Linked DNA regions of Astyanax mexicanus. The protein of the gene in region 1 purifies or fractionates together with the protein of each later gene. This does not show direct contact. Links are inferred from orthologs where the notes say so. Each region holds a gene or a part of one and is shown in the gene's direction. Other genes may lie near its edges.

Evidence for each region.
Region 2: the proteins of smad2 (region 1) and trim33 purify together in Homo sapiens (affinity purification with western blotting; 7 studies listed by BioGRID and IntAct, with this or other methods). This does not show direct contact. The link is inferred for Astyanax mexicanus from reciprocal best matches to the Homo sapiens genes SMAD2 and TRIM33.
Region 3: the proteins of smad2 (region 1) and tgfbr1b purify together in Homo sapiens (affinity purification with western blotting; 8 studies listed by BioGRID and IntAct, with this or other methods). This does not show direct contact. The link is inferred for Astyanax mexicanus from reciprocal best matches to the Homo sapiens genes SMAD2 and TGFBR1.
Region 4: the proteins of smad2 (region 1) and smarcc2 purify together in Homo sapiens (affinity purification with mass spectrometry; 3 studies listed by BioGRID, with this or other methods). This does not show direct contact. The link is inferred for Astyanax mexicanus from reciprocal best matches to the Homo sapiens genes SMAD2 and SMARCC2.

What each region holds. Positions count from the first base shown.
Region 1 is NC_064427.1:23,597,360-23,605,356, forward strand, and holds the start of smad2 (mothers against decapentaplegic homolog 2), read left to right. Parts: upstream 1-4,735; 5' UTR 4,736-4,917; intron 4,918-5,213; 5' UTR 5,214-5,323; intron 5,324-7,997. Other genes in the region: coiled-coil domain-containing protein 17, read right to left, coding at 666-831, 931-1,036, 1,190-1,315, 3,234-3,362. UniProt on the Homo sapiens protein: Receptor-regulated SMAD (R-SMAD) that is an intracellular signal transducer and transcriptional modulator activated by TGF-beta (transforming growth factor) and activin type 1 receptor kinases.
Region 2 is NC_064419.1:2,136,610-2,144,926, forward strand, and holds the start of trim33 (E3 ubiquitin-protein ligase TRIM33), read left to right. Parts: upstream 1-5,048; 5' UTR 5,049-5,084; coding exon 5,085-5,871; intron 5,872-8,317. Other genes in the region: bcas2 (pre-mRNA-splicing factor SPF27), read left to right, coding at 649-729, 1,376-1,502. UniProt on the Homo sapiens protein: Acts as an E3 ubiquitin-protein ligase. Promotes SMAD4 ubiquitination, nuclear exclusion and degradation via the ubiquitin proteasome pathway. According to PubMed:16751102, does not promote a decrease in the level of endogenous SMAD4.
Region 3 is NC_064413.1:43,270,782-43,279,243, forward strand, and holds the start of tgfbr1b (TGF-beta receptor type-1b), read left to right. Parts: upstream 1-5,164; 5' UTR 5,165-5,293; coding exon 5,294-5,363; intron 5,364-8,462. UniProt on the Homo sapiens protein: Transmembrane serine/threonine kinase forming with the TGF-beta type II serine/threonine kinase receptor, TGFBR2, the non-promiscuous receptor for the TGF-beta cytokines TGFB1, TGFB2 and TGFB3.
Region 4 is NC_064412.1:17,017,295-17,025,410, reverse strand, and holds the start of smarcc2 (SWI/SNF complex subunit SMARCC2), read left to right. Parts: upstream 1-4,825; 5' UTR 4,826-4,861; coding exon 4,862-4,972; intron 4,973-6,957; coding exon 6,958-7,077; intron 7,078-7,848; coding exon 7,849-7,934; intron 7,935-8,062; coding exon 8,063-8,116. UniProt on the Homo sapiens protein: Involved in transcriptional activation and repression of select genes by chromatin remodeling (alteration of DNA-nucleosome topology).

The sequences.
Region 1 (7,997 bases):
AGAGCTTTCAGATTCCTTGCATATTATACCATTGTATACCAAGTAGCATCACAGCGCAATCAGAGGAAAGCTGCATGACCGGTATATAAACCAGCGATCTCCCGATCATAGCGGCATCACTTTAGACTGCTGGACCACTCTATTCAATTGTTTACTCAATTCAATTTGCTTTCTCTCTGGTATCTATGCACTCTTTTTTTTATGTTTTATTCATTTTATTTCTAATTTTTCCCATTTTCTTTACCCAACCCACTCATTAGGACTCCCACTATCACTAGTAATGCCCCAACACACCAGGAGGGTGAAGACTAACACATGCTTCCTCCGATACATGTGAAGTCAGCCACCGCTTCTTTTCGAGCTGCTGCTGATGCAGCATTGCTGAGCAGCCAGCGCGCTTGGAGGGAAGCGCAGTGACTCCGGTGCATCAGCTCACAGATGCCCTGTGCTGCAGACATCACCCTAGGAGTGATGTGGGAAGAGAGCGCCATCTACCCACCCAGAGGGAACATTGTGCTCCCTCTAAGCTCCGGCAGCTTGATGGCAAAGCTGCATGAGCAGGGGTTCGAACTTGCCACCTCCCGCTCATAGTGGTATCTATGCACTCTTCAAAAAAAAAGAATACCTTTAATTTTTTAATTGGAAAATAATTTAAAAGAAATTACTCTTTAGAGGTAAAAGACCTAGGCTCCCGTGGAACATGCTGCAGATGATTCATGAGGGACTCCAGTAGACTGGTGTTCCTCTTCTCCTGCTCCTGTAGCTCGAACAGCATTTCCTCCAGCAGAGCCACTTTCCTGTTCTGAGCAGGCAGTTCCTGCAGGTCCATCTCTGCAACCAACCAGTGGGTCTTCAGATGGCTAATTTATGAATAAAAAAAACTAATTTAATGCATGAGTAATTGTGCAAAAAGGGTCAGCTCATGATTACCTTCTCTGTGCTGGTTTAGATGTTTGCTGTCAGCAGATCTCACCATCTTCTGCTTGTCCATCTTTGGCTGGATCTGAAGGAGCTGATCTTCTGACCTGCCTGCTGTCTGTCCATGCACACACACACACACACACACACACACACACACACATACACTCTCATCTCTATCTAAATGAACTAAAATTACTGCAATTCAGGCAAAACCAATAAAAGCAGAGGTCATAAAACATTTGTGGGGCTGTTTATATGTGTTTCTTACTGGTTCACTGCTGGGTTTTTGCATGTGGTTCTGAGCTGGTGTGTGAATGTTCTGCTGGCTGAGTTGGGCTCTTGCATTAGGCCTGTCCTGCTGCCGTATCCTCCTCAATTCTCTTATCCTCTCATTCTGTGGAAGTATGAAACAATACAAGTACTTCAGATATCCTCATATCATATAGGACACTATGTATTTTTGAGCAATTCCACCAAATGGGTGCCTTTTCTGTCCTCAGGAAATACATGTATAAATGTGCAGAAATAACTTTAAAATACATTTTATTATTAAGCATAGTGTCTTGTACAATGGTGTAATTGCAAAAGTAAAATATGTAATTAAAAACATTAATAAAAACGACTTTAAACACTGAAAAAAATAGCATTTGTTACCTGTCTCCAGTCTCTAACTATACATTTTACCATGAAATATAATTATTAAAATCCTTCAGAGATGTATTTCTTTTTTGCATTGCTGTTTGACTTCAAATCCCATCTATGTTTAAAATTTTTTTTTGTTTTTTAATAATTTTAATAATGTTTTGTTCATAATAAGTCAAAAGTTTATGGAAGCCCATTTTGACCAACTAGTAAGTCATTATTTTAAGATACTTTTCATTATTTTGAGATACTACCTCATTAGTCTGAGATATTAAGTGATTTTGAGATAGCAAGTGTGTTTGCTTTCAGAAAAAATATTTTAAAATAATTATGACTTACTATCTCAAAATAATGACTTTGTATCCCAAAATAATGACTTAGCATCTCAAAATAATGAGACAGTATCTCAACATAATGACTTACTATCTCAAAATAATGACTTACTATCTCATAATAATGAGATATTATCTCAAAATAATGAAATAGTTTTTAAAAATAATGAGATAGTATCTCAAAAAATGACTTACTATCTCAAAAAATAAGATGGCAGTTAACTTAATAATAAGAAAAAAATGTGCTGGATTTTTTATTTTATTTTAGGTGGCGGAAATGGGCGTCCATAAAAATGTTTATGTTAAAATACACATTTTAGTTGTGTCACTGGGTTTCACTCAGTCCTGTTACCGTAACACATTACCCCATCTAAAACATCTGAAAACATTCTACAAGTCACTTCTACAACAGGAAGTGACATCAGCTGGTTCTTCTGAAAATCATACCAAAATCCAGACCAAAATTACTGTAAGTTCCCTCTTTTGTTTTTCTGTTTATTTGATCTTATTGTAACTATGACTGAGGAGCTCAATCTTAACACTTCCTGTTACCTGAATTAGTTCCTTTTGGGAAAATCACTAGAATGTGCTTAGTGTCCTCATGCTATTAGCATAGCCGCAACTTAGCTATGTCTTATGTTTTTGCTAATTCCATGCTAAAAACCATAGACCATTCTTGTTTACTTTTATGACTTTCACAGTTGTACTCAAAAAACATAAAAATAACAGGAATGAGTTTTTTTGTCATAAATAATAATTATTTGAACATGCAGTCAACCATTTTTTTTTAAATGAAAAGACTTTCTTTAAAAAAAAGACTTTCTTGGGAGAAAATCAAAGGAATTAGTGGACTAGTGTTTTTTTAAATGTAACATGAATTTTGTAACCATCTTCGGATTTGAAACCTTAACACTTTAATCAAAAAACATAAGTAAAGCTGCCTGAGTTTGACCAGTACATGTTTTAAATAGTTAAATATGTTATTAGATTCAGAGTTGAAAAAAAAAATAAAAAGCTTAATTTGGAAGCGTTACAACAAGCAAATTGCACCTATTCGGTGGAATTGCCCTTCTACATATTTCTTTCTGTATAAGTGGTTCTGGTGCCTTTACTAAAGAACCCTTATAATATATAAAATATAAATTAATACAGACATCAGTAAAAATGTGTGTCATCCTGTATTGACATGCCAAAAGTTATGGGACTGGCAGCATCTGGCAAACATTGTCCATGCAATCAGACTTTAGCTTCACAGTGAGACACAATAAAGATCTGGTTCCACAGTAGATATGGATAGCATACACATTTAAACATATAACATGAAACATGAAATTTTACCAGGTTTTGATGGAAATCAGACTCTTCATTCTGACCAACACTTCCAATACAGAACTTCTCCCGATGCTTTGCCAGAAAATTTGATGATCTGAACGTCATATTACATCTAGAACAAATTAATGAATCCATTGCTGAAAAAAAAAACTCTTATTAAATAAAACCGGATTAGCCAGGTAGGTAAATGTCTGTGCAGTTCAGCCAGGCTCTGTGTTGAGCTGCTCTTGACAACCAATAATACATAACACACACCAAACCAAACTTACAGCAGCGCCGTCTGCTGGACACGCTGGGAATGAGTTATTACAGTTCCAGCCCATTTAAACTCTTTCACTGTGAAATAACAATCTTCTTATATAAATAAAAAAAAACTTTTTAACCTTTTTGATACTTTGGCTTATTATTTTATTCACTTTTTATTTTACCATTGTAATATCTTATTAATATTATCTTAATTTAATAATTTTATAAATATATATATTTACATATTTTAAATGTACTTTTTTTTCAACAGCAAATTTTACCATCTCACAATTTTAAAACACACAAAAAACAATGTTATAAATGTTATATGGTTTCAGATTTTTTAAACTATAAATTAAATATTTGAAGTCCAACAAAAGGATTTAAATGCTTAGATATGTCACTTTTTTTAGTCAACGTGTGAATCAATTTTGATTTTAATAAATTAGTAACGCTTTAAAGTAGTAACTCATTAATAAACAGTACATATGACCGAATATCTCATCTAATTATTTATGGAAAACGTTAAAATATAATAATCAATTAAAAATATTTAAAAATATTAAAGTTTAATAATGTTTTAACTAGTTCCAATGAATAATTAGCTGAGACATTTTGTCATTATTAACCATTTAACAATATTTAATGTTTAATGTCGTAAGTGTTGGTATTGTTTGTGACCGTAGTTGTAAAGTGTAAAATTTTAAAACACACAAAAAATATCTTAAAATTCAGATTTTTTTAACGATGCTAGTAAATATTTGTATAAAGTTTATCAAAAGTGAAATAAGTTGTATAAATTCTACACAACAAATATTTAATTATAATCTCCATAGAAGAAAAGCTATTTTGAGGCCCTATTTGTTTCTCCTTTGTTGAATGGCGGAGGGATACGCTGCTTGTTTGCTTTGATGGGGCTGTGCAGCCGTATCTAACCCACTTTGCGATTCGGCTCTCAGCGCATCTCTCTCTCTCTGTGCTTCGGTTACGAAGCAAACAGATGGACAGACGGACGGCCGCGTCGACAAACCACAGCCTGCGGCCTGGAATCCAAACGTCAACGAGGGAATGGCGAGTCTGGACGACCAATGGGGTACGCGGGCCGCTTTGCATAATTAATATTTGGATATACTGACGGCAGATGCTGACCAATGTATTCTAAGTAGAAGCGCGTTGGCTGAGATTTTGACCAATAGCAGCACGAAGGCGGGACTAGAGGCGGGACTGAGGGCGGGCCTGTATCGCGTTGAGTGCGTTAAGGTTCGGTTGTCCATATGAGAGAGGCCACCGTCGTCTGCTGCTGTAATTTGGCTACAGAGAGAAAGAAAAATACAGTTTAAATCGATTTTTAGAGCCTGGAGGACGGAGATAAACGCCAGGTTTTGGTGTGGAGGGTCCGTACACATTTTTGGGGTGTGCATAAAGCCGGCGGCTCATCCTGAAGGTGAGTTTTATTGCTGTAAAAATAGGTGAAAATAGGAGCTGCTCCGCGAACACGTCTCTAACCTGTTTATTTTTCTGTCAAACAAAGTGGCGAAGCCTCCGAGCTTAACTTAGCGGTTTTTTGAGCTGAACACACATACACACACCTCCTTAATCACTAAAACCGCCACCTCTCCAGCACCATCACCTCTCCGCGGTTACAGATACTGCTAAAAGATGCTTGAACAGTGCTGTGTTTTTGTGTAACCGTGGCCGGCTCCATCTGCATTCACACTCTGGGTTTGTTCTCGTTTGTAGCCGCTAGCCTCAGCCTCTCGCCCCGGGACTCGCTCGCTCGGACGGGGCTTTTCATGCAGCCATAAAACAACATCTCCTCTCCACATTTTCCATCAGTCCTGCTGCCCGAGGTAAGTGCTGGACGCACACAGAAGCCTTTAAAAACCATTTATTAATATCTCCTCTTTGTAAAGAGCAGCTTCTGTAGGCCCTGGCCTGTTTTTCTGTGGATGGGTAACGTTAGCTAAGTAAGTTAGGTTAGCTAACCTAAGCTACGTGTTTTTTCATAGACTGCTGGCAACGTGTGGACCGGTTTATCGGTGTAGTTTAAATCTTGATTTCAATAAAAAAACATTTAATTTAACATTTAATTTAATAATGCTTATGCATTTACTAAACACACTAATACACATTTAAGTATTTGCCTAAACTAACTACTAATTAATAACTGACACTAGTTATGATAGTAGGGGTGGGTGATATGGCTCATATATCATCATGATACTCATTGGGATATACCAAAACACTGAAATAAAAAAAAAAATATTTCAGGAATACACTACTGCAAAAAAAAAACAAAAACAAACAAGATTTCTACTAACGAGGCACTCAACATATCTTAGATATACAGCTCTGGAAAAGAATGAGACCACTTAAAAAGTATGAGTTTCTTTGATTTTACCAAATTAAAAATGATCAAAAGGAAGATGGATGATCACAAGCCATCAAACCAAGCTGAACTGCTTGAATTGTTGCACCAGGAGTGGCATAAAGTTATCCAAAAGCAGTGTGTAAGGTTGAGGAGCGGAGATACATGAAACTGTGATGAAAAAAAAACAGGCTAATTCCACCAAGTATTAACTTCTATACTTTTAGAACTTTATAATTTGAACTTGTTTGAACATTATTTGAAGTCTGAAAGCACTGCATCTTATTTTTATTTAGAATATGGGAGAAATGTTGTCTGTAGTTTATAGAATAAAACAATGATTATTTTACTCAAACATATATACGTATAAATAGGTAAATCAGAGAAACTGATTCAGAAACTGAAGTGGTTTCTTACTTTTTCCAGAACTGTATAATGACTTACCAACTTCAAGATCGAATAATTAATATGGATCAATCACATATCTAGTCTATTTACTTAGTGCAGAAATATATATAATTTTTTCTTGTTTCATAAAAAATGTTATTCGTTCACTGCATCCCTGTTTATTTTTTTACCCTGTTTACTTGTAGGGCCTCAGTTAATATTTTCTGACTGAGGCTGAAATAGAACATTTTGAAGCACCACTGCATTACTTTTTTTTTAGAATAATGTGTTTTATATCGTTTCTGCAACTGTCAGAACACAGTTGTAACAAAAGTAAGTTTTATTATACCATGATGTTTTTGATGCAAAAATTGAAATCAGAATATTGAGAAGATTTCATTTTTCCTAAAATTCTGTTTGTGAAATGCAGAAATAATAATAAACAATTAAAAGTATATACATTTTTATATCCAATATTTATCAAATTTGGCCTCAAACTCTCAAAATTTAACTGATAAAAGTTACACTGACCTTTATGACAAGACACCACAGCAAATATTGTAAATTAAATAAACAGGGATGCACTAACCAAAATCTGCCCCTAAATCCCTAATTATAAACAATTGAACTGCCCCAGTTAAATACTATTTCTTTTCTTGTGTCACGTTTTCGTTTATTAATTTTATGTTTAAAAAATGAGGCACTATCTAGTTAGCTTAATATGTGGATAAACATTTGCATGCATTTTAAAAGCAGAAATCTGAACAGTGGATACAGTCTGGCTGAATTCAGTTCTTGTTTAAATGTATTAACATATCCGATTTTTTTTGTTGTTGCATAGATTAGAAAATACTCTTAACACCCATCATCGCTGTAAAAAGGTGCTTCTGAAGTGGAGAGCTCTGCACTTGTATTTGTGTCTTTCTATCAAGAAACTCCCCCTTTTTTCTTTAACAATTGGTTGTTGATACAAAGGAAATGAGCATATCTGGATGTTATGCAGAAGAGAGAGAACCTAGCAACTAACAGTATGCTTCTGTCAACATAGTGCAGTCGACAGTTTCAGTACTTCAGGTGGTGTTAGAATGCTAACTTTTAACAAAAATCTACACACAGATAGAAAGTGCAGAAAAATAATAAATTTAATGTGTAATTCAGACACTTTCAGACTACTGTAAAGAAAAAAGCCAAAACATTTCTTTAACTAGTCTATAATAAAGAGTTTGTTCCTGCTACATCTTGCCATAAGCATCCAGCTGCTATCTAGTGTGGTGCTTTTATCTTCATATATCTTCAGTCTCCATCATGCTTAAATTTGGCACAGTTGTGTTCATACCCACAAACCCATACAGTAAGAGTTATAACAGAACGGTTAGTCATTTAACCACACTCTTTCTCACACTCTCTACTCACCAAATGAGCTGTGTAAAGAGATTAATTAGCGATCAGGCTCTCCAAGAACTCATCAGCTCCATGGACTTTAGTCCTGAAACTCTAGAGGCATTTAATACTGAAATCTGGCTCTAATGCTTAAATACACTGTTCTGAGGTAAATGCAAGTCACTTTAGCTGGTGGTGGGCAGTATGACAAAATAAAATAATGTAGGCATGAAATATGGCACTTGCAGTATATACAATGGATACAATACACTAGAATCACTGGAATACAGTATATTTACAGAACACTTCATTTCTCTTGAATGTGGTAAGCTAAGACAGAAGCTTGAATACAGTATCTTAAATAAAACTGCGAGGGTAAATACGATTAA
Region 2 (8,317 bases), on another chromosome or scaffold:
GGTACCTGGATACGTTTGGATCATAGACTGTATATAAAGATGGACGCCGTTCCCATTCATTCAATGAAAATGAAGCCAAAATCTTCCGCCATGTTGGCGATTCTGAAACCCGAGTCTGCGCAGTAGAGACCAGAGGAGGGAGAAAGGCTGTGGAGAGACCGCCTACTCATTTAAATAACCCCGCCCCTGAGGGCTGCCTCGCGGTCACAGACTGCAGAGCGGGGCGGAGCAGAGCTGACGGTCTGTTATTGGCCCCGCCCATAACCAGCCCTTTTACCATAACCACACCTTTTTTGAATAGAGCCGAATAAAGTTTTAAAAACCGAATTCTGTGGGATATAAAAATTTGACAATATAAGCAGAGGTTACACTAGCTGCTGCATTTAAATAATGGAGGTAGAATTACAGCATATTAGAAAAAAACGTGATTGAGAGTTGTCTGTTTTGCCATTGAAACCTATGGGGATGGGTGGAGTTACACAGCTTTCTGCAGCCGAACAGCAGGGGGCGCCCGACCTGTGGTGGCTTCACTTTTAAGAGACGATGCTCTGTCCAGCTGTATACAGTCTATGGTTTGGATGTAATGTAGTTTGGAAATATTTAAACATCGATTGTTTAACACCTTGGTTTTGACTTTTGTGATTTCAGAAAGCAGATTCAGGATCTGAACTGGCAGAGAAAGAACGATCAGCTCACTGGAGGAGCCAAACTGCGAGAGCTTGAGTCAAAGTATTTTTTTTTATGTATTATGATCCAATAAAAAATATTTTTTCTGTATTTTTCGCACTATAAAGCACACTTAAAATCCTATACTTTGCCACAAAATCGTCAGTGCACCTTGTAATCAGGTGTGCCTTATGTATGAATCTTACCAGTCAGGTATTAAGGAGTTTCAGTAAAGTTTCTCCAGCATCAACACTGGAGCAGTATTAGCATTAGCTGCTACCTATAGTGCTAGCTCTTTCGGCGTTCATATCGTACTGTATATATCGAACTGTAGCCTGAATGTTTTTCATGTTAAAACAAGCTACATGGAACGAACCACTAGCTGATATCACCCTGACTTACTGGAACACTCAGGGTTCCTCTGTGTAGCACAGTCAGGCTGCATTTTCTGGCGCTAGGTGCTGCTAATTTTATAATATTGGAAATCTAAGCTTACTAAAAGGAAACTGATGTGCTTTGTTATTAGAAGGGAAACATGGCGACAACCTTGTTTTTTACTATTGTTATTTAAAATGTGCCTTATAGTTAAGTGTATAAAAATAGACATTTTTTGATAGTGTACCTTATAGTCCACAAAATACGATATATTAAACAACGATCTTATTAAAGTACACTATGACCGTGACTGATGCATCTTTACCTCTGACAGCTGGGTGTCCCTTGTGAGTAAAAACTACGAGATCGAGCGCGCCATCGTGCAGCTGGAGAATGACGTCACCCAGCTGAGGCAGCAGCAGGGGGAGGAGAATAAAGAGAACATCAGACAGGACTTCTAACCAGAGGCATCTTCCCAGACAAACCTGGAATAACCAGCGGACTCGGATAAAGTGTGCGGAAAAGACATTTCAGAGAATAGCGGTGGAGTGTCCCAGAGAGGAAATGGCATCAGAAATGTTACCTGTTTTTGAAAGCCTGGTACCAAACAGCTCAGCAAAGCTCTGTTGGTAGTTTGTATGTATTTTTTTATAATTTTTAAGCTGTACAAATGTAATAAAAGCTTTCTTTGGCGAATCATGCATTTCTTCTTTAACCTGTGTGGGACCCATATGAGATTAAAGGCACTAGGGCACTAAACTACCTGATTTTTGCTAACTCTAGCCTCAGCACAAATTTAAAAAGGCTAGAAAAATGAGAGGGGTAGTTTGGAAGGGGCACACTGGGTGATGTATGGGTTTAGAGGCAGGGCAGGAGGGAGAGCTGATTGGCTGAGATGCAGAAGCAGCAGTGTGCCTCTGATAGCGGTAATGAGATGCAGATGGTTGGATGTCATGAGCAGAGGGGGCAGGATTATTAATTGACTAATCTGCTTATTGTGATGTATCTGTGTACCAAAGTACATGTAAACATCATCCTCACCTATAGCACAGTTGAACCTGAGAGGGAGCTGCAGAGGCAAAAAAAATAAATAAATAAAAGTGTTTTTTAAAGGTTAGGAAATGTTTATTACAAATTTAAGCAGGGCTGCTATGTTTCATTACTTTAAAGGAACACATTTTAGCTATTAATGGAAAATATATGGTTTAAGGTTGTTTAGCCTGGCTGTTTAAGGTGGTCTGTAATGATGGGGCTCATTTAAAAAGCCCAACTAGATCCCTACATGTTGCATACACACTGACTCTATCTCGCCAGCCAAATTCATGAGCATAACTTTTTATTCTAAGCTCACTTCTCAAAGAAACTGCAAGAAAACTGTCTATAATGAAAAACTAGGCCACCTTTTGGGCCTCATTTGTCACTTCAATCAAGCAACCAGAGAGCGCTAATGAATCTATAATGGTATTTCATTATTCAGAGTCTCATTCCAGTTCATAAAAATTAAACTCTTTAATGCTTTTTTTAGTCCATTTATCATTTATTCCAACCTTCATGCTAGCCCCAAAGCTACGGGACTTTCCTCAAGTCTAAGACTTTAAAATCAAATACAGAAAATACAGTCCAGTCAGAATATTATGACCACTTACTTGTTTCTACAGGCTTTCTTCATCTTATCAGCTCTACTAATCAAATAGCAGCATTAAGTATTTTTTTATACAAAAGCTCTATGCAAAAATAATTAAACAATCAATTCCCAAAAGCATCAGTTTAATTAAGTCATCAGTTTCATGGGAACACATTGGAAAATCAGAGGGAACAATTTATTAATCTCATTAACAATGATTTAGTATATTGAAAGAATTATTTATTTAACTGAGAGAGCAATTTATTAAATTGTGGCATGATTAATGTTAGGAGCTCCATAACATAAACTACTCTTATTGCTGTAGCTTGTTGTGCTTACCCAGTCGCATATATAAAATCAAACCCTAGTCCTAGTACCATGGAGAAGGTGGTGTTATCCACTGTGCTACACCACGTAGTGGAGAGGGACTTGCCTTTTGTGCTGTTTCTTCTTAAATATAGCTCTGATAAAACACTAATAGAAGAGTCTTGTCTGATTAAATACATTATTTACAAAACCCAGATAGCAAAAGGAAATTAAATCAACATTATATTTTTCATTTTCAGCAATGAAACACTATTGGTCTCCTACTTCAGAACTGACCTATTTGTACACGTTGAATTTATTTTTTACATTTTTTATCAGTTTTAATAAAATAGTTTAATTTTAGGGCTCCAGTGTTGTTTTTTTTTACAGCAGCTAAAATGTTAGTAAACTGAAAGAAGTATGTGGGTTTTAAAGCCTAGTTTCAGAAGTGTTTACAGTTGTAGTCACTTGTGCTGTAAGATGATAAGATAATATCTGGAATATCCAGGTAACATTGCGAGGCTGGAATATGTTTAACCCCTACAGAATTAAATGCAGCCGAGATCATCATTCCTTCATGTTCCCTAGAAAATGAAACAGCGCCCTAAGTAGGGAATAAGGGATTGGTTTGAGACACACCCACCCCTGGCACCATCCCCCAGCTCTATATTACACAGATTATCTAACGAACTTTTCCTGACCTGATAAAGTACTTACAGCCCCTTATCTTTCCGTCTTCATGTGTTGAACTGAAACTCTTAAAGGGAAACCACGTGAAGACACGAAACTCGAGGAAAACACATGGTACTTTACCTAAGATTCATAAAGTACCCGTCAAAAGTTTGGACACACCTCTTCCCCTATTTAATGTGATTTTACCTTGGAAATTTTATAATGTAGTGATTAAAGCTAAAGAGGAACATGTGCTGTATTATGATATAAATAAAAAACAGAATCTGTTTTATACTTTAGATTTAGCTCATTTCCACCACTTGGAAATAAATAAAGGTCCTCCACTAGGTCATAATTAAGAAATACTAAGTCAGAATTTTTAGATAATACTGCCAGATTCTGTATCTCATAATTATGACTTAGTGACTCGTAATTATGACTTACTACCTCATAATTATAACTTACTATCTCATAATTATGTCTTGTAATAATTACTTACTACCTTATAACTGTGATTTACTATCTCATAATGATGACTTACTACCTCATTATGACTTCGTGTCTCATAATAATGACTCACTACCTCATAATTATGACTTAGTGTCTGGTAATAATGACTCACTTCCTAATAACTATAACTTAATAATTAACCCATATATATATATATATATATATATATATATATATATATATATATATATATATATATATATATATATATATATATATATATATATATAAGAAATCGATAAGTTTAGATGTTTTTCACGAACTTTTCGCAGAGCTGGTTTATGGAGAGACTGCCCACTCCCATCTCCGCCGGAATATCAGTGAAATACAACAGACCGCTAGAGGGAGCCCGCGAGTGAGTCCTCAATGAGTGGGGGTGAATGGAGCTAAACGGCTAAAATAGAACAATAAAGATAGCAAATAACCATGTGTTTAGGATATTACTTTAATTTTAGAACCTAGAATATATACAAAAAAATATATATATATATATATGTTGGTGCTCTTGAGAAAAAATGGGAAGGGTAGTTTGGGAGGGGCACTGGGTGATGTATGGGTTTAGAGTTTAGGGTTTAGTGGCTCTTTAAGAAATGGATTTCACTCAATCCAAATACTTTCAAGAACTTTAAAGTATGTGATGAAACTGGCCCTCTTCAGGACCACCCCAGTATGGGAAGACCAAGAGTTAGAAGAGTTAGTTTTCAGCTTCAGAAACCAGAATTTAGGTTTATTAAGATTATTATATGTTTTATTATATGTTATGTTATAGTCTGGGTGACTCTAGTATAATACTGTATTATGTATGTATACTGTATTCTGAAGATACTGGCTAAACGCGCTGACGCACGGACGCCCGCCTCTCACTGCTGCGTGATGACGTCGCACGCAGCTCCGTCGTGTTGGACGTCAGGCGGTTCAAAGAGGAGGGAAGATGGCGGACAACAAAGGCCAAGCGGAGACGGAGAGCTCGGCTAGTATGGAGGTAGAACCCGCCGCCCCGGTGAACGGAGACACTAAGGAGGTGATTTCAGAGCCGGCTGGTGTTACAGAAGCGGCCGGTACGGGTGGGAGCGACGGACAGTGCGGGGAAAACGGTCCGCGGGAGTCGACACCTCCACCACCGCCCGCCGCCGCCGCTGCTGCTGCTGCTGCTACCACCTCTGTTGGCGGGGAGAACAGCAGCGACATCGCGGGAGAAGGAGGCGGAGGAGGTGGAGAGGGTGGCGGAGGTGGTGGAGAGGGTGGCGGAGGAGGTGGAGAGGGTGGCGGCGGCGGTGAAGGTGGAGGAGAAGTGAGCGCTAGTCGCAGCACCCCGGACGGCAACAGCGGCGAGACTGAGGCCGAGACCGGGACCGGGACTGATAATGGGAACGGGAGTACGGAGACTGAGACTGAGACCGAGACTGCGACTGCCGAGAACACCACCACCGCCGCTGCCGCTGAGTCGTCCGGGGCTGCGGGTGACAGCGCAACACCAGCCCCGGCCGAAGCCGGCGGGTCTCCCCCGGCTCCCTCAGCCGAGCTGCCGCCCCCCGCGCCCGCCGCCCCGATCAACCTGCTGGATACGTGCGCGGTGTGCAAACAGTGCCTCCAGAACCGCGACTGTGAGCCCAAACTCCTGCCCTGCCTGCACTCATTCTGCCTCAAATGCATCCCTCAGCCCGAGCGCCAGATCAGCGTGGGAGTCCCCGGCCCTCACGGCCAGGATACGCACATCGGTAGGTGGATCTCCCGCTTTAGAAAGAAAGATCGAGAAGCGACCGGCTGGCTGGTGCTTCCAGCCTCCCGACCACGAGCACCACTGCAGCTCCTTCTAGCCTTAGTTAACGCTGGTTAGTTATCACCTAAGCTAGCTTAGCTAACGAGTTGTCAAACCGTGCTAACATTGTGTAGCTCTAATTAAAGCTGATTATTGTGGTAGTCGACTAATCTGATTATTTTATAAGTCGATTAGTCGATGATTATTTATATTTTCTATGATATCTATATTCTCAACCGCTGTGATTTAAAAACTCTTAAACCGCCCACAAGATGTTCAATTAATGTGGAAAGTTATGATAATCAGTTGTGTTTTAATGTCTTAAGTTAACTTGTTTGTTTTTGAGCATATTTGGGGACACAGACCAAGCTAAACTGAATGTAAACATTCATCAATTATGTCGACTAATCGTTGCAGTGGTCTAAGTTACTTGTTGCAACCTAGTAAAAATAAACAAATCCCCTCACCACCATATTATAGGGCTGTAATGATTCCAAATTTCACCAAACTAAATAGTGGGCAGAGAAAAACACAATGGTAGAGAGGAGTAATGGGTTCATTTACAAAGTTTACACTCAACTTGGCCTCTGTCTCCAAATGTGCCCAAACACATATACATATATACATATTTACATATTTACATTACATATTTACTCACTAACTATCAGAACTATTCACTTTTAAACATCCTCTGGGCATTTAAAGGGAATAATCGTTAACTGGTCGACTAATCGAAACAGTAATTATTAGAATAGTCAACTATCAAAATAATCATTAATTGAGACTCTGGCCTCAGCCATCACGCACCACTGCAGGTCCTGTAGAGTTGTTTTTAAGGGTAACCTATGGCTACTAGGATTAGTCAATATGTAGAAAGACAAATTTGTCAACTAATTTGTTAATTCGTAACACAGCACTACACTAAATGCTTTGGAGTGATAAAAACAGTGGAAGAGAGGGATAATGGGCTCACTCACAACCTTCACACTCAACTTGGACCCAAACACAACAGATTACATATTTACTCACCATACTATAAGAACCGTGCACTTCTAAACATTATCAACTTATCGTCTAATTGAAACCGTAATCAGATTAGTCAACTATCAAAATAATCATTAGTTGCAGCTTTAATTGAGAATCGACCGGCTGGCGCTTCCAGCCACAATCCAGCCTGAATCATCACACACCACTGCAGCTCCTGTTGAATAGTTTTTCTGACACACTAGGAAATCAGGGTTTATCTTTAAAGCTAAACTAGGGCTGACACAATTAGTCGATATATAGATAGACAAATTTGTCAACTAATCGTTGATTTGTAACGGCACCATACTCCACAAAGAGCTAGGAATGGTGTAGGAATAGTCTCCTAAAGTGCCCAAACACAACAGATTACACTTTTAAACATCATCTGGGCATTAAAAGCGCATTTAAAACCTATGCTCAGCTAGTTCTTTCATTTTGAAGGGATGGGGGCATGACAGAAACTACCAAAATAATCATTAGTTGCAGGCCTGATTAGAACATGCTCCCAGACGCCCTGCAGACGTCTAAGTAGATAAATTAAATAAATGAAATTTCTGTATCAGGATAAAAGTAAGGTAATTAAAGATTAAATTAATGTTTTTCGTAGATTTAAATGTTCTATTTGCATTTTAAAGCCAGAATTATCATGAAAAGCACATGATAACCTAAAAAACTAAATGTGGCACACCAAATGCACAGTGCTGGTTAGCAACAATGATCCATGGGTAGAATTACTGAACAGATCATTGAGATTGAATCTCTTTAGAGCACATTTGGCTGGCTGAGGCCTTCATTAGATTTGTTTTATTGGTCAGATTGGTAAATTTAAGACATGGCTACTATTAGGTAAACTCCACACACCATTTATTAGTATTCTACAACCAAAAACAGCTAAAATGTTACAATGTTTTGATAGAAATTCTTGTTCTAAATTCATCAATCAGTACTTACACTAATTTAATTCTCCTCTTTATTATTGTGGGCTTTTTTAATATGGCTAGTTTGTTTCTAAGCTGCTTTCTCTTTCTCTCTCTCTCTCACTTCTCTTTCTCTGGATGAACAGAGGATCCAAACCCAGGGCCTCCAGTACAGCGAACCCATACAGCTTTATCTCGAATGGGAGCTTAGCTAAGGGAACTGGGGCTTATAGGATTGGGGCGATATCCCAACTAGCTAGTACTCTAGTATTAGCTGACATACTGTTGGATATACTGCTATTTGGAGCACAGCTATTTTGTGATCTGTATTCAATGGATTATTTAACCAATAAATCACAGACCACTGTATAATGAGCATTTATTATTTCATTGGTTATTGTCCTTTATATCACAGACGGCTTTTTTTCTTAGAAACATGGTCATGGTTTATTTATCCAATAC
Region 3 (8,462 bases), on another chromosome or scaffold:
AAATCTGAAGTTGATTCCCATTGCTAAATTTGCAGCACATTTGGTGGCTGTTCATTCAATGGAACTCAATGGTGTTGATACAAATGAAGGTGTCCATCATTAGGCTAAAAGAAGAAAACATAATGTATGTGCCGCCACAGGAGTGAGACGCTTGCAGTTAAAATTAGGAGTAATTTTAATCAACAGGGCTGATCCAAAAAACATAGTCAAAGTACAAGCACAGGGAAATACCAGAGACAAGCCTAACCAAAACAACAGAGCCAAATACACCGTCCAAAAGGGATAAACAGTAGACAAAAAGGGTCAAAAACCAGAGCAAAAATACCAAGGTAAACTAGCAAAGACAAAACAAGAAAAGACAAAGCCATAAACAGGAAATAAAAAGAAATAGACATTTGCAAAAGGCAGAACAAACAGACCGGTTTACATACAATGTTAAACAGCTGAAAGGAATCAAAACACAGGTGAGGCTGATCTGGCAAGCTGGTGCTGATTGACTAGCTGAGTTGACTAGCTAAATTAACAAATGAGTTTTTATGTACTATGTTAGTTAAAAAGCATTTTAGAAAATGTTCATACATGTTCAGAATGTTCTTAATTACAAGGTTACGAAGGACTTAGCTTTACATGTTTTTGGGTTTTGGGAACCCGACCGGAGTGGCCTTCATTGATTACAATGTTTGCAATCAGAAGGAATGCACTGGGCAAATGGCACAAAAGACTATAGATATTAGTTTGTCCAGTAAAGTTGTAAAAATAGAGCCCACAATAGTTAAAGTAGTTGCGGTAATATTTTCGTTACACTTCAATTATTTTTTGCTCATCCATTCCACCACCTGGGGACAAAACTCCATATTGTCTTCCATATATATATGGAATAAAAAAGGATGTGTGATACTTGAGTCTCAATTGACCGTACAACCGGTGTTTTGTCTATCTTTTACCTATATTGCCTGTTGAAAAAATACTCATCTGTCCTGAGGCCTCACTTGCTTAAATTTTTTTTCTTCCTCACAGTAATAAATCTAAGATAAACTGTGTTGTTGATATTTTTTTGATAATCTCTAATGTCACATCTTATCATTGCATACCATCTCAACAATGTGCCATAATCAGGGCCTGCAGGATCCCAGAGCTCACAACACCTTTTAAAGAGTACTAATTCCTCTCAGCTCTGCACTGTTATTCATGATGTAACACGGCGTATTTGTTTAATTAGCAAGCGAATGCTGTTATCTTTTTGGCCCATGTACTTTGTTGAAGAATGGCACTCCAGGGCAAAATATTCCCTTAAGCTTACACATTTGTGTTTGCCCTACTTATCGCTAACTCCCATTAATGCTTAATAGCCAGGGATTCTTTTTTTAGAATATCACACTCCAAATCTCACAGTATAAATTAATTGCTTGTTTCGGACTTTCGGCGCAAATTTAGGCAAGACGCGGCACAGGCCTTTGCCAGTATGGCTCAAAGTTATGCCTAGGCCCTTTTTTCCAAGATAAGAATTTATACAAAGCAGATTTGTTGTGAATATGGCAGTAAATAATTGGGAATATTTTATCTTGGTGTTGTTTATTGAAGATTTTTACATTTTGGCTCTTCTTGTTATCCTTCTGCTGCCAGTCATTTTTTCAATGCCAGTATTCATTTCCATACAACTGAAACATGATAATGAATATATGATAACTTGATAACTGATGGTTAATATATTTAGCCTCTATTTTCTGCACTGTGCATCTATTTAAGCTGATTTGTGGAGGAAGTGTAAATGAATGCCACACAAGTACTTAGCTCATGTAAACAGTTTGTGCATGCTTGAATGAGGGTTTCATTTAGGTTCATTACTGACTGATAAGTCCAACGTTTGTCTAGACATGCAGCCAGCTGATATGACACTGCAGGGTCTGCACTCAGAGCCCCTCCCCGCCTGCAGTCAGATCCAACTGGGGAAGGCACACCGCAATGGCCGACGTCCAGATGGCAGCCAAGTGATTGGCGATGGGGGTTGTTTTGAACCCAGTTACGATCACCAAAAATAGGGACGGCAGATAAAAGTGCCGACAGTCCACGGCCTGCACCGGCTGATTACAACCAACCAGGCAATGCCGCTCGTGTTTGTGTTGCTTTGCTAAGGGTGCACAGTCCATGGACAGGCAAATATAGGCTTTAGCAATATGTAAAGGACTCTGCTTCCTGCTGATGACCCCAGTGCTCCCCCGGACCCCTGCAGCCCGAGTCGATAGCCTATGTTTTTTAAGCACAAGGGTTTTTAGGTAGCTAGAAGAAGTGGATGGGGCCACTGCTCAGTATCCAAAGCCTGTATCCAAGGCCTAGGAGGCCCAGGCGGACATCAAACAATAGGCAGTCGTCAATCTCTGTCACCGTAGATGGGTGAACGGGAGTTAGAGGTTGCAGGAGGTCAGGCTCTTTGTCCTGTCCTGATGAATATATGCATAAGGCACTGCAGCCATGACTTTAGGAGATGTGCTGGTCGATATATTGTCGAGCAGTATATTCTGTGATACTAATTCCGTTTTAAAAACATTTTTAGCTAAATATATTATTGATAGATAATGAGAATCTATATTTATATAATGTAATGGCTGTAAAATAGCAACATCTATCTGGTTGTCTTTCAATGTGTGTAATTTACGTTAAGTATAATATATTATACTACATTTTTACATGACCATTATGCAACATTATTTTAGCTCTTACTTAAATTTAAACAGTCTGCTTTTGTAACTGTGCCTCTAAAACTGAGAGTTTTGAGTTCTGAGTGTCTGCCCTGTATTGCATCTCATTCAGAAAGCAATGTGGGCTGAACTACCCCCTATAACTTGAGTCTGAATAGGCGGGGCTAAGCTGCCATATGTGAATTAATTAAAGGGAAGACTATACTGTGCAAATGTATTGTTTTTGTGACATCACAAAACAATCAATTCAAAGTTACTTTTACAGCTTAGTTTTTATATATAGACAGCACTGGAACTACATAAAATTACTAAGCAGTAATAAGCCTAAGCAATTATTTTTCTCTGTCATTAAAGTACTGTTTTTATATAGGTCATATTAAACCAAATGTGCTTAATCAATCACATTGTTTTTTCTTTGTAGGTCTATCTTTAAGTCTACCGATAGATATGAATATTTTCAGACATTCTAGGTCACTGAAATGCCTGGCAGTATTGAATAAAGGCTACTAGACTCTATTTTTTTCCTGATTACAGGGAAGAAATATCCAGGTCTCATGATTTACTATTATTGCCCATCTACCATCAGACATAATGTTTCATATTTTCATCTAAAAAGCAGCTGAGCCATCCTCTTCCTTGTCTTGCAGTTTTTACAATCCTCAGTCTGATTTTAACCCTGTCTGTGGCTTCACTGGTTGTATCAAACCCTATTTACTTCAGATCAATGACTGTAAAAAGATATAAGCTATATACAGTCTATGCTTCATATGATCACATTCAATTCTATTTAATTAATCATTTAACTTTTACTCACTGTCAAACATAACTTTAAAAAGTATAAAAGCCTTCGATGCACACTGTGATGACGGTCGATGAGACTTTTTTGAAATGTCTTGACATATATAGTCACTATTTCTGTTTCACTGAGTCTAATAAGACTCTCCTCTCTCCTCACTCTTATGCAACTTATGCAAGAGGTTACCCCTGAGTAAATGATGTGTTGTTGATTTTCTAAGTGAAAATAAGTTATACTATTATTTCACAAAATATACACTATACCTACACTGACATGCCAAAAGTCATGGGATATCAGTATGCAAACTGAGCATGTTACCTTGGGGGCTTGGGAACACTCACACCTGTATAAGTTGTGAGGTGTTATCTTGTAAGTGTATTTGAACACTTGTCACTACTCTTCTGGGACAGTGATGTGACTTATCGAAGTTTGAGTTTCCAGCAGAAGATTTGTTTAATTATTTACACTAAATAAGCAAAGGTGCCATTTTTTTCAGGAGTACCTTAAACCTTTGTTTTAGACTGTAAAGACAGTCGGAGAGTATACAAAATATGTACCTATTTCTTGCAAGTAAATACCTTAATATTTTGAGAGTGTATTAAAATTACATTTTTACTTATCTATTAGCAAATCCTGAAATCAGATTTTTTTTTTTAATTCCAGAATTTGCAAAAAGTGTACTAAAATATTGACCTGTTTCTAATAGGAAAAAATTGTTATTTCAATCATTAAAGTATAGGGTTAATGATGACAGGATTGTGGGTTTGATACCCTGGTTTGACACACTGCCATTGTTGGATGTCTGAGTAAGGCCAATGGCTGCCCACTGCTCCGGGCATGTGTGTGTGTGTGTGTGTTCACTATATGGGTGGGTTAGAGGCAGAGGCCAAATTCCATCTGTGTCCAACACAAATGTGAATATGGTGCTTCTTAAATAAATAAAAAAATAAAATAATTGTTAAAAAAATCTGAATTAGTTTAATAATTTAGATTCTTCTAAGTACCACATTTATCTTTGAGGACAGCTCTGCACACTCTTGGTATTTTAATCTCAGTGTCTTCATGAGGTAGAGGCACCTGGAATAGTTTTCTCAGCGTCTTGAAGGAAGGAGTTCCTGGAGGTGCTGAACAAAAGCTGCTGCTTTTCCTTCAAGCTGTGAAGCTCCAGCTCATCCCAAACCACCTCAAATCACCATCTCAGTTGATCAGGTTTAGATCAGAGGATTGTGGAGGACAAACGCTTTTTATTTACTGTTTACTACATAATTCCATATGTGTCCCTTTTAATAGTTATTTATGTCTTTAATATTAATGAAATATGTAGAAAATAAATGAAATAAAGAAATAGAGAAAAACACTGAATGAGAAGGTGTGTCCAGGCTTTTGATTGGTGCTGAATATCACCAGAGTATTGTGTATACATGACTTCAACACTCCTCCATACCTGTGTGTATCACCTGTTAAAGTGTTAAAGCAGTTGTAGCGGGTGTATAGAGAGTGTAGATCAGGGGGAGTAGGAGGAGAAATGCTGTGAATCTGTCTGTCTTTCTGTCTGTCTGTCGGTCTACTGTGAGTTTTTTTTTTTCCTGGGTCTGGGCGGGGAGTGGCGGCTCCAGCCTATCACAGGCTTCTCTCTCTCTCTCCCCCCTTGCTCTCTCTCTCTACATACACACCGTACACACACACACACACACACGCCTAGCTAGCTAGCTGGAGAGAAGTTGTATGTGTATGTGTGTGTGTGTGTGAGTGTGCGCGTGTGTGTGACAAGCAGGCAGTGTAGAATAAGTCTGATCCGAGGATGGATGCAATACCGCGCTGTCTGCTGTTTCTGGTCCTGCTGTTCGGGACGCGGATCGGCGGGTCTGAAGGTAAGGCGCCGCCGGGCTGTGGTTCGCCCCAACTCCGTTATTTCAGCCTCTGCTCCGTGAAGTTTTGCTGTCTGAGAGTCCGCTGTTTTTCCTCTTTGTTTCAAGGAGCTACGGCCCCAAAGACTCTTTTCAAAGATGGCGCAGGTCAGAGAGAGAGCTGAGCTTTCGGAGGAATGTTTTCTTTCTTTCTTTGTGTTTTCTTTTTGAGAAGAGAGAGAAAAAACCGAGGGGAAGAGATAACTAAACACAGGACAGATAACCTAACGTAGCTCGTTAGCTAAATAAAAAGAGCGAAGGCGACCTGGCTTGTGTTGTTGTGAAGAATCAACAGCGCTTCGCTAACTACAACAATAACAAACACAGTCCTCTAGCAGTCTAGCTTAGTTAACTAACAGCTTACTAGCGTATGTTAGTTAACTATTTAGGTTACGTAGTTCGTTAAGGAGTTTGGTCTGAATTTAATGCTCCCCACGATACTAGCTAACTACAAAAGTTGGCAACTCTTCATAGTAGAGGTTTATAAGTTAACGTTAAATGGATTGATGAACTGGCTCTGAACACAGCAATTACATGCTTTAAGAATAGAATACAAACAAGATAACCTAGCTGTACATATTGGCAACACTTTACAATAAGTGTAGTTAATTAACCTAATTAACTAACTAGCTAACCTTGCTAGTTAACTAGTAAAGTAACCTAATGTGACCTATTGTTGATTACTAAATTGTAATGTTTGACAATGTTGTAGATAGTAGCTAACAATGAATCGAGGCGTTATTTAAACATTCTGTCATGATAAATAATGTCTTTACTAGTGGCAGTTAATTAATAATCTAGTTAACGTTAGCTAAGTACTGTAAATTAATGTGTTAATAAGCTAATTAACGCTAGCTAGCTACAGTTATAACAATGTAGGTTAGTTAGCTAACCTACATCAATTAACAGTACTAACTAGTTAAGTAACCTAATGACTCAAAGTCTCAGTGTCTAATTTATTGTTGTTGGTACTAAATTTTAATGGTTGAGAACGTTGTAGTTAAACATTCTGCCATGACAAATAATGTCTTAATGTCCTAGTTTCAGTTAATAATTATCTAACTAGTTAGCTAACGTTAATAAACGTTAATAATCTAACGTTAATAAGCTACTCAATGGTAGCTAGCTAACGCTAATTAACCTAGTTACATTTATGACAATGTAGTTAGCTAGTAAGATTTCTAAAACAAACATTAGCTAACGTTACATGTGAAAACAAAACGTTGATTAAACCTATAATCTATGTACACTAAATAAACTAGCTAAATAAATCATATCTGACATTGATATAGTCTGATATATCAACGTTGTTTGAACGCTTTGAAAACGTTGATTCAACATAAGCCAGCTTGGTTAACTAAGTTAAATAGGGTTAAGTTTTTGTAAGTTAAGTAACCTAAAGTCTCAATGTCTAATTATTGTTGATTTATTAAATTGTAATGCCTGAGAATGGTGTATATAGCCTACAATGCATTAAGACATTAGTTAAACATTCTATCATGATACATAATGTCTTAACTAGTGTCAATTAAGAATTATCTAGTTAAGCTAGCTAAGTACTGCAAATTAATGTGCACACTTATTGTAGTTAAATTGTTAATGAGTTACCTAGGTTACACCTAGCTACATTTATAACAGGTTAATGTAGTTAGCTAAATAAAACAAGTTAAGCTTTCTAAAACAAACAATAACTAAGCTACATATGAAACCATAACGTTGAATCAATGTTGAACCAACCTAAAATCTATGTACACTCAATAAAATGGACAAATAGTATCTAAATCAACCCTGGCATTTACATCAACATTGTTTCAACGCATTAGAGATTGAAATATGTTGAAAACGTTGATTCAACATAAGCCAGCTAAATAACTAACCTACTTTTGCTCTGCTGGAAGAAATGTTGTGATTCCCAAGCCCCAGTGGTAACGTTAGGTTAGCTAGGTTTAGAGAGAGAGAGAGAAATACACCATTAAACGTGATTAAATGTGCTGACACATTATTACACAGCTGTAAACCTGTGCTGAAATGTTCTTGTATCCATCTAAACGCTTAAACTGAACTTTATTTAACGGTAAATGTGTTTAGATTGTGTTTTGACCACTATCACACATACACACACACACACACACACACTCGGCACAGAGAGCAGCAGCAGCCCGTCTCTCAGTAACAACTAGCTACACAGCCTCACTACTACAGCAGCTAACCTGGGTTGGCTAGCTCGCTGGCTAACGTTAACGTTAAACACACAGATAAACCGATACTGATGGTGTTCAGCCTGAACCGTGAGCTTTTCCAGCCAGCTAGAATAGAGACTGTCGTTGGCTAGACGTCTTGAGTGAGATGTAACATTAGCGTAACGTTTTTTTAGATGATAGCAAATTGATTAAGCCGTCTACTAGCTACGCTAGCTAACTAGCTAGCCAACCTACCGGGCTAGCCACAGTTCTTCTGTTCAGTCAGCCTAACTGCCTCTGTTAATGTTGTGTTTATGTCAAAAATAAGTTTATTTCAGCTACCTGTTATTTGTTTAGCCTTCATTTAGGAGCTTAAGAGTAACTTAAGAGTGCAGAACTGTTTAAGGACTGAAACTGCCCAAATAACGTTACATCCGCTCCCCCCCGTCCGTTTACCTGGATAAGCTGGATAAATAAATAACTTTATTAACTAATCACTTCATCAAACACGAACTGTAGTAAACGAATGTACAGAAATGACAAGTAAATGATAAGTTTCTTTGATTTTACCAAATTGAAAAACTCTGAACTATAATCAAGATGATGATGAATAATCACAAGCAATCAAACAAAGCTGAACTGTTAATTTTTTTTTGCACCGGAGTGGCATAAAGTTATACAAAAGCAGTGTGTACGACTGGTGGAGGAGAACATGCCAGGAATCATAAAAACTGTGATTAAAAACCAGGGTTATTTCACCAAAGCATATTGCTTAAAATACATTTAATGTAAATACAGTAAAAAAGTATATTTGATGTGTATTTTAATTTAGTATATTAAACAGAAAATGCACTTTTAGTATTCTTTACCTAATTTAACATGC
Region 4 (8,116 bases), on another chromosome or scaffold:
GTCCATTTTGTAGCATTGTGCACCATTGTTTGTTGGATATGAAAGTAAAGCAAGTATCCTAAAGCATGTGTCTCTGATTATTGTGCCTATTTATTTTATTTAAATCAATTAAATAAAACATGTTCAAGCCTCTTTTGAGAAAAAAAAACCCTGCACATGAGAAGGACAAACCCTTGAGAAGAACCAAGACTCAAAAAGGAAACTGAGCCTCCTCTGGCCAACAGCAAAACCATCCCAAATACACAACACAGCAGTCCAGCTAAATCCAGTTATTTTATAATTTTATTTCTAATTTTTATCCCATTTTCTGGGGCTAATTACCCAACCCACTCATTAGGACTCCCCCTATCACTAGTGATGCCCCAACATCAGAAGTGTGAAGACCAGCACATGCCTCCTCCTACACATGTGAATTCAGACTCTGCCTCTTTTCTAACTGCTGCTGATGCAGTATTGCCGAGTAGCATCACAGCGCACTCGGAGGAAAGCACAGCGACTCAGTTCCGATACATCAGCTCACAGACGCCTTGTGTTGATCAACATTACCCTAGGAGTGATGAGGGGAAAGAGCGCCATCTACCCACCCAGAGAGAACAAGACCAATTGTGCTCTCTCAGGACTCCGGTACCTTATGGCAAGCTGAATCCAGTTTTGAGGAACTTGTGGAGCTGACCTCAAGTAAACTCAATGATTGTAAATGGATAAACAACTCATGACACCTCAATTCTTTAATGATTCAGAATTATTTCTTAAATAATATTTATAATATTTTAGATAATTAAATAAATATTTTGTAATAATATTATTACAAAGCAGTTGTCTTCATCAGCTCCATGCCTCACAGTGAATACACTCATTGACAACAACATGGCACATGACCCCAGATTGTAAATAATGTAAAATCTGTCCTTGTGATAGGAGGTGCATTATTGGACTAAGTGAAGCAGGATGGGGGCTTAATATTCTCTTGTAATCATTTCTTTTGTAATCACACTCTTTTTTTTGTCAGTTACTGTATTTTTACAACATTTTTCTTTAAATCACTTTACACCATCCATAACATGTTTTTAAACCAATGCGATATCACTGTACAGCTGAACACTCTTTAGGATCCAGTTCAGATGCATCAGGTAACAGATGCCCACCCTGGTAAACATCACACAGAGTGATGATGAGAAAGAGGGACATCCTACTCAGACTGTGTTCTGTAGGACTTCCAGTTCCAGATGGCTGTGGCTTCAACCAACAATAGGGTTCGAACCAGCAATTGCCCTGTGCCAACACCAATACAGCTGTGCTACAGGTTTTTTATTATTTTTTGTTTGTTTAACGATGGGTTCAATGTTTCTTTTCAGTGACATAAAACCTGCTCTATATGACTTAAAGGTTTAATAAGCAACAAGTAACAGAATATTTTAGGTACTATATCATTCTTGCAAAGTGTGTGTGTGTGTGTGTGTGTGAGTGTGTGTGTGTGTGTGTGAGTGAGTGAAAAAGAGCGACTTTGCCCCCATTAGTAATCTCCCTGCTAAAGGCCAGATAGAAAGGTCCTCACACACATTCTGACAAGCTTACACACATTAAAATAATCAATACAACACACACACACACACACACAAAAATAAACCTATTTGTAATCATATCACACAGGTTCACACACACATTGACCAATACATACAATAAACACAACACAAAAATAAAATACATATACACAATGAAAACGAAGACAATAAAATGGATAACTGTTAGTTTCTCTCTCTCTTTCTCTCTCTGTGTCCACACACATACACACACACACACACACACACACACACACACACACTAATTAGTCACTGAGCCACTGACAGTATTGATCATTATTCACTCTCCATCTCCTAGATTTACACACACACATACACGCACTCACACTTATCCTTGTATCCTTGGTAATGAGGGGGAATGGTTGCAAGTATCTTTTGAGGGTAGATAACGAAAAGGTCAAAGAGCTGCTGTTGGCGAGACAGAAACAAACACACACCCGCACAAAAGAAGACAACTGTGACATAAACAAGCCTCGGAAAGGAGGAGAGGAAACTGCAGACCAGTCTACATCCAGCCATGCCCTCATTATCAATTTACCAAAAAACAGGCAATACTCACAATACATACTGTTAAGTGAAAAATGTGAAAGATAGATATGAAGGAATGCAAAAAAAAATACATCAAAAATACATTACAAATTATGTTGGTATAAAAAGGCAGCTACCTTCCTGTAAGCTATATTAAAGAAATATTAATGATTGCACACTATTCCTACACTATTCGTTATAGCTCATTAGTCTAAACTGTGATGCTTTCGTTTGCTTCCAGTAACCAGGTGGAAATCAGGTAGTGCAACAGTTAGGTAGGTATCTGTTGCAGTAGGTCAGGAGCATGAGGCAATCAAGACAAATGTCTCAAGAATCTTTATTTTTAATATATGATTTCCAAACAACGAGCTCTGTTCCTATAACAGTCCCATAACAAAACATTTATAGCAACTTACTAATAAATCAGATTAACCTATGAGGGACAGACAGACATTTTCTCTATGTTGGGTTAATAATGAGATCAGTCATTAACCCAAAATTTTCTGTCTGTCTGTCTGTCTGTCTGTTAAAAAAAGAGTAAATATTTATTTTTGCATACTTAAAAGCCTTTTAATATTTTAATATTTTCGTTAACCTGTAGTGTTAAGTGTGCATTTATTTATTAGGTGACTTATTTGTTTAAGTTTAGATCTAATAATCCTATATTGGTCAGCATAACGTGGTATAAAAGAAAAAGAACTGGTGAAATGTGCAATGATGCCAGGACTGGAATGCACTCAGAATTCCTGAGTCGGTGGGCTGATCTCACGTTAGATTACCTCTAAATCTCCTGAGACAATTGGTGCTAAGACCCAAAATACAAGTGGCTCTCAGTCCCAGTGTAGAACCTGTGCAGGTCTGGGGATTCCCAGCCAGCCTCCTCATGTGGGGCTCATATGAGTGGATTGTTGGTTTCAGGTGGGCATGGGCTCTGAGTGGGTTTATACATGTGTTTTTATTGGCTCCATCACTACAGCCTACCTTAATCCCCCATGTCATATCTAGGCCACATGTACATTTTAAAACCTGGATGGGGCCCCAATTGAGCCCCTCCTCATCCCATCACTGGCCTATACAGACCACACATGGACATGGCAGAACTATTGAACTCCTTAAACACACACACCTGGTTAAAAAGATATGAGTTGAAAAAGCATTGTTTAAGGAGGAACATCACCAAAGAGGTGACACTGGTCCTCTATAACTGAATGAGTTGAAATTCACTGCTACAGTGTACAGGCCATTAAATCCAGGCCTTGGTGGCTGTTTTTACGAAGCATCAGCTATCTTTTTTTGTTCCAGTACATCTGATCCAGCTGTAAAGGGGCTTGATCATTATTATCTGTTGTGCTAGAATAGGTGTGCTGGAGGCAGGGAATGCAGTGCAGGGGGTCTCCAGAACTGGGTCTAAAAATCACTTAATTCAACTCAACTCAAGGGCAAAAGTGCGTATTGGTTGTCTGACAGTGCCCTCTAATGGTGAGATACTGTAGTAAAGTTGGCTAGAGACCAAAGTTAGAGCCTTCATTCATAGTATCTCAGAGGTCAAGAAGTACAATTGTTACCTTACTTAAGTAGAAATATCTGTTATCTGTACTGCAGTAATTATTTTTCAGCCAACTTTTTACTCCTTACTCCTTATAGAAAGTATCTGTACGTTCTAATTAAAAATATCATTTTTCTTCTGGCTAGTCATTGTAAAAAGCTATGGGAAAAAAAAGTACTGCAATAAAAAACTACTTAAAAGTATAAAAGTAATGTAAAGGGAAAAAATACCATTAAGGACAAAAGCTTAGGCCACGACACAGGGTCCTATACTTCACTACCCTCCCTCCCCAAAACACATTTTCTAAAAGCCGTAATGATTATAATGTTTTATTAACCCTTAAATATCCTGTATCTATCACACATGCACACTAAAGTAAAGCATGGTAGCATCCCAGCTAACGTGGCAGAGAAAACATCTTTTCCAATCTTGTTTTTTTCTGACTAAACATAATTTGTGAAAATATATAGAAATATATAATAAAATGTGTGTAGAATAAAAAAAACTATAAAAGTTTTGTTATATAAAAAAATAAAAACAACAGTGTTAAACAAATGACTCTACTGCAATAAACAGACAAAATACAAATATTATATTTGATCTTTAATTATTAATTAATGTATTATTATTTTTTACTGCATCCTGTTTTTAAGTGCATTACAGGCAGAAAACAGCATTCTTATGTATTTTTTATCACTAAAACATAACTTAGGTCTGAAAGGGTTAAAATGTTAATGTTGGAAATTTTGATTTTGGGATGCACTAAGCTAGTTTTGAAACCAGTACTGTTATACTTTTACTTGAGTTTTTTAAACCCTGGTATCTATACATCTACCTGTGTAATGAATGTGAATACTTTTTTACACGTTCGGTTAAGAATCTGAAAGCACGTGGAACAAACCCCTGCCACGGTTATGAAAATATGACGACACTTACAGCAAGTATTCATTCATTTATTTATTTATTTATTTTAATTTTGGAGTCGATTTGAAGGTAGAGGGGGATGGGACTGAGAGGTCACCGCCGGTCCAGCTCTGCCATGTTGGCTCCAATATAATATGGTTTCCTTCGGCAGCTGGAGGATCTGATGTGAGCCGGAATGGACGCAGTTTCAGCGCGTCTTCAGCGACTCTCGCTGAGCCGGAGAAACGGCGCTGCGTGTCCGCCAGGCGGCGCGCCGCGTCCATGGTTTTGGATGTAGACAAAGATGGCGGTACGGAAGAAAGACGGCGGCCCGAATGTAAAATATTTCGAAGCGTCTGATACCGTCTCACAGTTCGACAATGTCCGAGTCTGGCTGGGCAAAAATTACAAAAAGGTACTGCTCGCTTTTATTCATTTAATACGAAGCTCTGCGCTGGAATTTAGTCAGTGGGAAGTGGGTAGAGTGATGAGGAGAGGCAGAAAGCGGTGCACAGAGGGATAGATAGAGAGAGAGAGAGTAATACAGAGGAGGGAGAGAGAGGGAGAAGGAAAGAGGGAGGGAGGGATGGAGAGAGAGAAATCCAGCTGTTTAAATCCGCTGAGGAGAAACGAAACAATAGAAGAGGAGAGATAACTAAACGCTTTGGGAATCGCTTATAAAACACAGACGTTTAAACTCTTGCTAGCGAACCCCCAGCACTCTCCGGCTGTTTCCATATTTTTCTGATGGTCCATCAGCCATGTTTAATGCGATTTCATGAAGGGGCTGGACAACGTTTTTCTTTATCTGGGGAGGAGAAAGCTAGCTGTGAGCTAACTAACGGTACTGCGGCGGCTGCCCGCTCTCCTCCAGTCCAGATGTGCAGCCGCAGGCTGGCTCCGCTTCGAGCCGCTGGCCGGAGCGGTTTTAGAGGCTCCGGTAAAATCCCGTAACGCTACGTCTCTGATCATTAGTAATAGGAGGTGAAGCCACAGCGTGTTGTGATTTTGCGGCCGATCTGCCCCTCCCCTCCCTTTCACACCGACCCGGTGAAGAGTCTGATACTGTCTGATAGTGAACAGTTTACCCGAGAGGAGAGAAACACCAGCTAAACCAACTGTGAGAGAGAATAACATAAATCAATAAAAACTCCTTAACAGGCCAGGATTATTGTCAATTGTCTGCCTGACATTATACCCCTAAATCTAGAGCATTTCTATTTAAGCTTTACATAAAAAGCTTTCATGTTTGACGAGTAACATTACTAAAAAGCCTTTTTCAAAAGTATTTGTAATTGTAATAGAACTTATAACGTTATAAATCAATAAGTAAATCTGCTAATGTCAAAATATAACAAATAAAATCATAAAATTGTCCTTTTCCTAAACTTTATTTTAAAATAAAAAAAATCTTGAATACAAATCAGTAGAAAGTGAACAGGCAGCATCCAAACCCAGTGTCCTGTAGGAGATTTCAGAGCCCTCAAATTTTCTGAATGTGAATAACTTATTTTACTGCAGAAAAAAGGGTTTTGTATCACCTATACCTGTAGCCTTAAGGGGTTTTAACACTAATTCTGACGTATGTAACCTAACCCTAGCTAAGCTAGGAAACCAGCCTATATAACATAGCTACATTAGCTACATTCCCATATTTCATGTACATAAAAGCTAACCTAGATTCATTATAAAAATGATTGAGTGAAAATGTAAATGCTATACATGTCAATGGCTTTGTTCAGCCAAAATAATAATAGCCATATATCTATTTAGCTAGCTACATCAGTCACAAAGTCTTAAATTAACCCATAAGAGCCCAGACCCATTTCTGAATATTGATAACTTACCATGTTAAAGTTTTTTTTTATTGTGGGCAGATGACTGTAAATATGTTAAGGTTAAAATCCTGATGAGCTTAGATCACGAGAATGTGGAGGACAAACATTTTTTTGTTTAGTATGTGACTCCATATGTGCCCCTTAATAGTTTTCATATCTTTAATATTAATCTACAATGTAGAAAATAAGTTTAATAAATAAATAAAAACAATTGAAATAGAAGGTGTGTCCAAACTATTTATACTGTAAACTACTATACTACTGTAACTATTTATATATTTTAAGCGCAGTACTATTTAGGTACAAGAAGTGCACAAAATATCCAGAAGGACATTATGCCGTAACACTTTATTTGGATAGCTACTCAGCTTTGGATGGTGGTATGTCTATTCATCAGACTCTTACTATTATCTTTAGAAGCAAATTAAGTATTAGGTAAAAAAAAATCTTATGAGCTATAGGACAAACCATTTCCTTAACCTCGCCCCTATTTTTCTCTTTCCTTATATTCTTATAACACTGTGAATTCTAACACCTTGTTTCTGTGTGTGTGCATGTGTAGTATATCCAGGCAGAACCTCCCACCAACAAGTCTTTGTCTAGTCTGGTTGTTCAGCTGCTGCAGTTTCAAGAGGAAGTTTTCGGGCGGCATGTCAGCAACCCTCCTCTCACCAAGCTACCGGTACACAAAAACACACACGTTCATACACACACTCACATACAGTCATAAAAACTACCCATGTTACTATCATAAACATCCCCATTCCCAAAACCTGTCTGCTGCCAAAAAGATGCACTTTAACATTGCTTTCAAACAGAAAAACTGGATTCTAATGTAGTATGTCTAGTAAGACAAGACAAGACAATATAAGCTGCCATATTAACCATACTTGTTTTGGACATACAGATGGAATGTGGCGTCCACCTTTATCCCACAAATATAGTGATAAATATAGTGATAAAAAATATCACAGCAGTGCCAAGAGCAAGTGATGGTTAAAGGCCTTGCTCAAGGACCCAGCTGTGGCAGATTAAAGATGCTCTAACTGGACTTTCTAACTGGTACCTTCATCTTCTTTACTATAACATTTAGTTTGAGTCAATAACATCCATAATATCTATAACCTGCAAACCATTTTAAAAATGAGTATACGTTTACTGCACAATATCAGAAATGAACTAGCAATAATATGTTATTACCTGAACATTTAAAATATATTTGTAAATATATTTGTAATGTAAATGTATTCTAAAATAAGCAACTGATCTCCAACTCACAGACCGTGCATCTGACTAATTTACACATGTGAGACCTAGCACTGTGGTGTTTATTCGTATATGTTTGTTAACAGCTATGCTATTGTTATAGGGAGCATTTTAATTGTATTAATGCTTATTTGCGATATTGCTGTTTAAACAAGGTATCACTTGACATTTCTGTCTGTTTGTTTAGATGAAGAGTTTTCTGGATTTCAAAGCCGGTGGAGCTTTGTGTCACATACTTGCTGCTGCTTACAAGTTTAAGAGTGACCAGGGATGGTGAGATACTTTTTACTTTTTTTTAATTGATTTAATCTATGAAGTGAAATCTGCAGTACCTAACTGCTGTTAATATTAGAAAAAAAAATGAAATGAAGCTGTTTTCTGATTATTTGTTTGTGTTCCAGGAGAAGGTTCGACTTCCAGAATCCTTCTAGAATGGACAGGAATGTTGAAATGTT